Oryctolagus cuniculus: one gene and its partner. The protein of the gene in region 2 interacts with the protein of the main gene of each other region in a pairwise test. Links are inferred from orthologs where the notes say so. Each region holds a gene or a part of one and is shown on either strand. Other genes may lie near its edges. The genes, in order: POM121 and TEX11.

The links.
Region 1: the proteins of TEX11 (region 2) and POM121 interact in binary tests that used the Homo sapiens proteins (3 or more experiments, as listed by UniProt). The two-hybrid records come from large-scale screens. The link is inferred for Oryctolagus cuniculus from reciprocal best matches to the Homo sapiens genes TEX11 and POM121.

What each region holds. Positions count from the first base shown.
Region 1 is NC_091450.1:50,673,838-50,678,432, forward strand, and holds the start of POM121 (nuclear envelope pore membrane protein POM 121), read right to left. Parts: upstream 2,866-4,595; 5' UTR 2,826-2,865; coding exon 2,254-2,825; intron 1,607-2,253; coding exon 1,391-1,606; intron 1,124-1,390; coding exon 965-1,123; intron 1-964. UniProt on the Homo sapiens protein: Essential component of the nuclear pore complex (NPC). The repeat-containing domain may be involved in anchoring components of the pore complex to the pore membrane. When overexpressed in cells induces the formation of cytoplasmic annulate lamellae (AL).
Region 2 is NC_091453.1:50,676,037-50,679,841, reverse strand, and holds part of TEX11 (testis-expressed protein 11), read left to right. Parts: intron 1-404; coding exon 405-485; intron 486-576; coding exon 577-696; intron 697-3,805. UniProt on the Homo sapiens protein: Regulator of crossing-over during meiosis. Involved in initiation and/or maintenance of chromosome synapsis and formation of crossovers.

The DNA of each region.
Region 1 (4,595 bases), on a different chromosome or scaffold from region 2:
AGCTCGTTTGGCCACTTCATCCATTTCCCTCTAAAGTCTCACAATGGGGATTCTGTCTTGTTCCTGCTCTGTCCACGGTGCCTGGACTGTGACCCAGCACACAGTGGGTGCTCAGGAAGTGCCTGTTGAATCGGAAACTGAGCGAAATCCTGAAGTGGCTCCTTGGGCAGCCGCAGAGTGCTCTGCACCCAACTGGCCACTCAGCCTCCGTTCTGCCCACGCTCAGGAAACAGACTCCATTTTTACTACATTAGCATGAAAACCAAATAGGGAAATTGGCTTCACGCTCATCGCTGATCCGCCTGCCTTACTCTGGTGCTCACTGTTCCTGGACAAGCGTTTCCTTCAGCATAAATACAGGATTTAACTGGTGATTACCCAAATAACTGCCAAGCACACAGCTGTGAGGGCAAGGTGTGAAAAGAAAACTGAACACATCTGTATCAAAATGTAGGAGCTGGGGCCAGCGCTGTGGCACAGCGGGTTAAAGCCCCGGCCTGAAGCGTCGGCATCCCGTATAGGCACCGGTTCGAGTCCCGGCTGCTCCACTTCCGATCCAGCTCTCTGCTATAGCCTGGGAAAGCAGTGGAGGATGGCCCAAGTCCTTCGGCCCCTGCACCTGCGTGGGAGACCAGGAAGAAGCTCCTGGCTCCTGGCTTCGGATCGGCACAGCTCCAGCTGTTGCAGCCATCTGGGGAGTGAACCATTGGATGGAAGACCTCTCTCTCTGTCTCTTCCTCTCTCTGTAACTCTTTCAAATAAATAAAATAAATCTTTAAAAAAAAAAAAAAAAAAAACGCAGGAAAACGCATCTGCCCTGTGCTCTGGGAAGCGGGCGGCCTCTACCTGTCCTTGTCGCCAGGCTCCTCTCCGAAAGCCAGGCTGGGGAGTAGCCAAGGCTCTCCAGCGGAAGCTGCTAGGAGCTGCGGGCCCGTGAGCCTGTCAGCACCCACTGCCCTGTCACCTTCTCTTATTCTCCAGGCCATCTGGGGACTGGCGGTCCTCTTCCTCCACCGTCCTCTTCTTCCTCTCTTTGAGGGCGTTCAGCACAGTCTCCTTCGCACACGGGTCTGGGGCGCTGGCTGCCGGTGAGGCCAGTGCTGCGTCGACGGTCTGCCCGGGGCTGGAATGGAAGACGAGATCCAAACAGTGAAGATGCTCCCTCCCCACTCCGAACGGCACAGGTGCGGTCCCTGGAAACCGGGGGCCCACCGACTCGCCAGAGTGTAGTGCCCCCAGAACCTAAAGCGACCGGCAAGACCATGATAAATGGGCGTTCCACTAGAATTTAGGATTTCTCTTTCAGATAAGTAGCTACTCCCTCTGGCTCCACGGCTGCTGGCCACGAGCAGGACTGCGGAAGGTGGTGGCCGCAGACGGAGGTACTCACAGCGGAGGACGGGTCAGCTTGCTGTCGGGAGGGGCTATCCGCACGGTCACTGGGCTACACACCATCTTGGAATTGCGCACGGAGAGCACAGCTTTCCTGGGACAACCATTCCAGCACACGGTGGGAAGCACTCCCAGCGCCGAGTACTGGGCTTGCTGGATCGGGTAGCGTCTTCGGGGCGTAATTACGAACCGATTCGATAAAGTCCCACAGTCCCTGCCGGCAACGGAGACGGCCCGCGTGAGCCCGCGCGATTCCCAGGCGACCCACACCACCATGGTTCTATGGCAACGCCCCCTACCCATTCCAGCTGAGGGCAGAGGGTGGCACGGGCTCAGACCTCAACCATCTGAGAGGGAAATTAAAACCTTGCCCAAACAAGTCAGGGAGCAGTGGCAGGGCGGTGTGCGGCCGGGGCGTGCAGGGAGGGGTTCTACCGCACCCACTCCCAGGCACGCCTTCTGCACCAAAAATCTAACCCATCCCCCTTTTGTCGGCTACCGGAACCAAACGAAAACGTTTCTTTAACTAAATCTGAGAGGTGCTGCCTCCAATCCCTCCCGGAGCTCTGCGAACAGAACCTCTGGTCCAGACGAGGCCGCAGCCAGCACGCGACAGGACCAGCAGGGACACGTCGGGGGTTACTAAACATTCGGATAAATCAAGACCACACTGAAGTGCAGGAGTTGCAAGTGGGAGGGAGAGCTCTGGCCACACGGTCTCTCGTTCCTACAGGGATAGGAGGCCCGGGGGCGGCCAGCACACACCACGGTTTTCGGTAAAAAGCACAAAACCACACGCGAGTCGCGGTTTGCAGGGCAAGGCCGAGCCGCCCGGGGGAGGCCGTGGGCCGCGTGTCCTACCTGTAGGAGGGTCGCCTGTTGGGTCGGAGAACAGGGGAGGAGAAGGAGGGGTAAGCCTGCGGGGTGCGGGGCGCCGGGGGCGCGGGCGCGCCGGCGCGGGCGGGCGGGCTGCGGCCCGGCTTCTCCCGCAGGTCCCTGCCCTCCTGCGCGCGGGCCGCGGGCGGCGGGCCGGGCTTGCCCAGGTAACTGCCCATGAGCAGCAGCTCGGCGGGGTCGGGTCCCTCGAGTAAGGTCCGCGGCTCTAGGAGATCGCCGTTTACCGCCGCCTTGGCCGGGGGCGAAGCGAGCAACGTTCGCTGGCGCCGCGCGTTCCGGACGAGCGAGGACACGGCGCGCGAACCGCGGGGCTCACGGCTCAATCCCCACCAGGCCGCGGTAGCCCCCACGGCCAGCCAGGCCAGCGCGGCCGCCGCCGGCACCAGGTACAGCACGAGGCCGAGCAGCGACAGGCCCAGCAGCGCCGCCCAGGCCGGCCCGCCGCGGCCCCAGCCTCCGCCCGCGCCCCGGCCGGCCCTGACGCTCGCTATGGGCCGCCGCCGCTCGCCTCCAGCCGCCGCAGCCGCCGGAGACATCGCGGCTCCGCGCCGCGGAGAAGACTTAAATATCCCAGCGTGCACCGCGCCGCGCGCCGGATGCGTCACTGCGCGCGCGACTCGGACGCGGCGCCTCCGGAGGAAGCGCTCCTGCCCGGCAACGCCCGCGCCCGCTCCCGACCGGGTTCGGGAAAGTGCGGGCTGCTTGCGGGAGGTGTCCCGCGCACCGTCCGCGGAGGACTCGCCTAAGGACTCGACGCTGCGGAAGGCTGCTCTCCCCAGCACCCTGCGCTCACACGTCTTGGGCGGCGGGCACTCAGCACAATTGCTCGCAGCGGTGCGGGATTTCGCAGTTAGCCCGGTTTTCCGACGGAGCGTTCGCAGCTAACGGGGATTGACGGCGAACCGCAAGGGTGGCGAGCGGGACCGCCGCGCCCCGCCTCGGCAGCGGGGATCTAGCTCTGAACACACTGCGGACCCAGCCGGACGGTGCTCCTGCAGGTCCCCGAGACGAGGGGCGGTTTTTGAGGGTTTGCGGTCCGTCTGAGAAAGGGGAATCGGCGGTTGCCGGGGTCTACAGGGTGGCGAGCAGGCAGCGACCGCTCCTGGTTCACGGGTTTCCGATTTAGGGGACAAAGTGTTTCAGAATTACGGCGTGGTGCTGGTCGCACGACCCTGCGAGCTACGCCTTAAGGAAGCTGTTTTTAAAGACCTGGTGGTTTGCCATTGCAGACCTTGGCCTGGCTCGGCTTTCCTCACTGATTCATCCATCCCGTCGACAGGCGTTAAAGGACTTAAGGGGGAAGGACAGATCGGAGCTTCAGGGCTCTCCGGTTAAGTGGGGAAAGAAAGGTGCACAACTCCGCGTGTGTGTGACGGGTGCGAGCAGACGCGCAGAGAGAAGGGACTGTCACCAGCCAGTGCCCTCAGTAGCCCAGAAGTCTTTACTGGAACTCGCTTCTGTTTGGAAACCGTGGAAGCAGCTGACGGCGTCCAAAGCTCTTTCAGGTTTTCGTTTACCTGGCAGGAGAGCACTGGCGCAGACGGCGCTAAGGGCATCCACCTGTCATTCCCGAGCGTGGCCCCTGGAGGAGCGTCAGCCTCATCACCACAACACGCAGCCTACCTTGGAGCCCACCCCTCCCTCTGACAAGAACGCCCCTTCTTACATAGTCAGTCCTCCTAAAACAACGGAGGCTTTGGGAAGATTCCCCTCAGATTCCTTTTTTTGCTGCAGATAAATTGCTTTGCGTGACAATTCCTCCTGGTGCAGGAAGCAGGCCCCGCAGTTGTGGTTGCATAACAGAATGAAGAGGGGAAGGAGGGCAGGGAAGCCGCTCGGGATGGAGCTGACAAACCAGCTGGAACAAGTTCCAGCCAGACGAGGGACCCCTGTGCAGAGAGGAGGAGGAGCTGACTGCCCCTTAATTGGGTTCCTCTCCCCGCCCCCCAAGTTTTTTTTAAAGATTTATTTTTTATTTATTTGAAAGAGTTACAGAGAGGTAGTGAGAGAGAGGTCTTCCATCCAATGGTTCACTCCCCAGATAGCCACAATGGCCAGAGCTGCACCGATCCAAAGCCAGGAGCTTCTTCCTGGTCTCCTATGTGGGTGCAGGGCCCAAGGACTTGGGCCATCTTCTACTGCTTTCCCAGGGCATAGCAGAGAACTGGATCAGAAGAGGAGCAGCCGGGACTAGAACCAGTGCCCATATGGGATGCTGGTGCCTCAGGCCAGGGCTTTAACCCGCTGCACCACAGCACCGCCCCCCCAAGATTTTTAAATTTGATTTATTCGAAAGGCAAGAGTGA
Region 2 (3,805 bases):
TCTACCACATGGGTGGCAGAGGCCCAAGTTTTGGAGCCATCGTCTACTGCCTTCCATCTGATACATTAGCAAGGAGCTGGATCAGAAGCGTGGAGTAGCCAGGGCTTAAACTGGCACTCTGATATGGGGTGCAGATGTCCCAAATGGTGACTTTTAAAGTATTCCTGTAGCAAATGTGTTTTAGGCCTATTCTTTTTTTGTTATTATTTTTATTAAGATATTTTTTCTTGAATTATGTAATACAAAGTAGAACACAAAACTCTCCTAAATGCTGACTGTTCCTTTTTGTTTTCTGTAGGTTTTGTGACTGAATATTGATAGAGGAGCATTTTCTCCAATATCCCCCAACCAGTCTGGGGAGATGTGAACTTTAAAAAATTATTTTTCTAACTTTTCTCTTCTAGATGAATATTAAAACAGGAAGAGGCTGGATAGATATTGGAAAAGCTGTGCGTTCTGATGAATTTTTTGAAGCTGCCATTGTTGTAAGTTACCTTTGATTTTTAGCTGTGGCAATTATTAGTAACATCTGTGGCTGTTCTCATCCCCACATTGTATTGCATTTTTATTTCCCAGGGTCTGGAGCACTTATATGTCAGATTAGTGGAGAGGAGTTACACTGAGGCACACGTGATCATTCAGAAGGTGGCTGTGGAGAAGGACCTCTTCAAAGTCTATTCTCACCAAGCAGAGTCAGTAGGTATCATAGGCACACAAGCCTTACTACGGGGGCAAGTTATAGATGTAAATGCAAGAATAATGAGAGGTAATCTATTAGAAGAAAATCAAATGTCACTGGCCATTTATAGGATGCTATATTTGATCTTTGGATCTTGTCTAATGTCTCAAGGAGACATGACTAATGGTGACTGGATCTGTATGGGAGTGAATGGGGGTAAATGACTAATATATATTTTCAACCACTGCATGTAACATCTGTCATTTATTTGTGGCAGCAGCCTTTTCTTGCAACACCTGTCTCCGTGACTGTCTCTTACATTCAGTCTGTCAAATATTCAGTCAAATATTTACTTGAGAAGAGTCTTTTCATTTGCTGTTGTTTTTCATTTACTATTTTTTTTATTTTAAAGATTTATTTATTTATTTGAAAGTCAGAGCTACACAGAGAGAAAAGGAGAGGCAGAGAGAGAGAGAGAGAGAGAGAGAGAGAGGTCTTCCGTCCTCTGGTTTACTCCCTAATTGGCTGCAATGGCCGGAGCTGGGCCGATCCAAAGCCAGGAGTCAGGAGCTTCACCCAGGTCTCCCACGTGGGTGTAGGGGCCCAAGGACTTGGGCCATCTTTCACTGCCTTCCCAGACCATAGCAGAGAGCTGGATTGGAAGTGGACCAGCCAGCACTTGAACTGGCACCCAAAAGGGTTGCCAGCACTGTAGGCGGTGGCTTTACCCACTATGTCACAGCGCTGGCCCCTTGATAATTTTTTTAAAAATAAAGTTTATTTATTTATTTTGAAAGTCATAGTTACAGAGAGAAAGAGGAAGAGACAGAGGGATCTTCCACCTACTGGTTCATTCCCTAGATGGTCACAACAACCAGTGCTGGGCCTGGCTGAATCCAGGAGCCAAGGAGCTTCATCCAGGTCTCCCATGTGGGTGGCAATTACCCAAACATTTGGGCCATCTTCTGATGTTTTTCCCAGGCCATTATTGAGGAGCTGGATTGGAAGTGGAGCTGCTGGGACATAAATTGACACTCGTGTGTGATGTCAGTATCACACGTGGTGGGTGGCTTTGCCTGCCGTGCCACATTGCCGGCCCCTTGATGATGCTTTAAAATATCTCCTGTTATCACACAATGTTCAAAGTTGTACTTTGCCTCTGTTTGCATTGTAGGTTTCCTCATTTTGTTATAGTTAGGTGTGCATTTTCAGTTGACAAAAAGCAGTGATGAATTTGCTTAATGTAATTATGTAATCCTGGAAATGAAAGAGGCACTAAAGTCATCTAGTATAGCCCCCTTTTTTACTTTTTATGATTTTTATTAAGATATGATTTATATACCATAGAATTCACCCATTTACAATGTTTAATTCAGTGCTTTTAGTGTATTCACAAAATCGTTGAGGCCATTTGCGGAGTGAACCAGTGGATGGAAGACCTCTCTCTGCCTCTGCCTCTGCCTCTCTGTAACTCTGTCTTTCAAATAAATAAATAAATCTTTTTAAAATAAGAGAGTACAATGTGAGATAGGGATATAGCTTCATTTACATGTGGTTATCCAGTTGTCCCAATATCATTTATTGAGAAGACTATTCTTTCCAAATTGAGTGATCTTGATACATATATCAAAAACCAATTCATCATAAATGTGGAGGTTTATTTGTGGACTCTTATTTCTATTCCATTGATCACAATGTCTATTCTTTTTTTTAAAATTATCTATTTGAAAGGTAGAGTTAGAGAGAGAGGGAGGGAGGGGAGAGCGTCCAGAGATCCAATTGTTTGCTCCTCAAATGTCCTCAACAGCTGGGGCTAGGCCAGGCTGAAGCCAGGAGCTGGGAATTCCATCAGGGTCTCCCATACAAGTGTCTTGGGGCCCAAGTACTTGTACCATCTTCAGCTACTTTCCCAGGCTCATTAAAAGGACACTGGATCAGAAGTGGAGCAGCCAGGACTCTCTCTCTCTGCCTATGCCTCTCTTTAGCTCTGTCTTTCAAATAAATAAATAAATAAATAAATATTTTAAGAAGGATTAATAACATTAATATGTGGTGTCTCTTTCATAGGAGCATAAGTTTTTGGGAGATCCAGAAATGTAAACATGCATTTCAGCAGGGTAATTGCCTTGAAGTAATGTGGATGAAGTTCTTCAGTAAAACAAAGGATTAGTAGTTTATTTTGATGTGAAAATTAAGAAGATTGTGAATTTTGGGGGAGTATAAAAGGGACATAAAATAGATATTTTAAATTGCAGAGGAGAATGAGATTTTTTAAGGTTTATTTTATTTATTTGAAAGGCAGAGAGAAAGAGAAAGAGAGAGAAGGAAAGAGAGAGAGAAAGGGAGAGAGAGATCTTCCATCCATTGGTTCACTCCTCAAGTGGCCACAGTAGCCAGGGCTGGACTAGATTGAAGTCAGGAGCCAGGAGCTTCATCCAGTTCTCCCACATGGGTGCAAGGGCCCAAGTACTTGGGCCTTCTTCTGCTGCTTTTCTCAGGCCATTAGCAGGGAGCTGGGACTCAAACTGACATCCATATGGGATGCTGGCACTGCAGGCAGTGGCTTTACGTGCTATGTCACAATGCCGGATCCATTTTTTAAGGTGAGAGATGAAGTAATTTTTAGAGGGATACAGTAGGAGGATATGGCATGCTATAAAGTACTTGAGGAATATGATAGAGTCTGTCCACCTGTGTGGGAAATATACTGCAGAAATCAACAAAGGGGAAAACTCAGTTTTATTGAGCATCTACTATATGCTTGACATAGTACTAGGAGCTGTAGTGTTCCTAATTGCTTAGCTGGAGTGAAGGTCCTATTGAAGTTAGCATAAATTCGTAGAGGGTCCATTTAGCATAGTTTACAGTGGATGACAGTGCCCTCTCTCTGTCTCTCTGTCTCTGTCTCTCTCTGTCACATAAATAAATAAATATAAATAAATAGTCTAAACAAAATTTTAAAAGTAAAATACCGTATCTGTTAACTAAATTCTTCAATTCTTAAATGGCTGACCCAAGCCTCTTCTATAAATGCTTAATAAATCTTTACATATTTATTTTTTATTTGAGAAAATCTTGCCTTTGATGGCTCATTCCCCAGATGCCCCCTGGCCCAGGCAGGGTTGG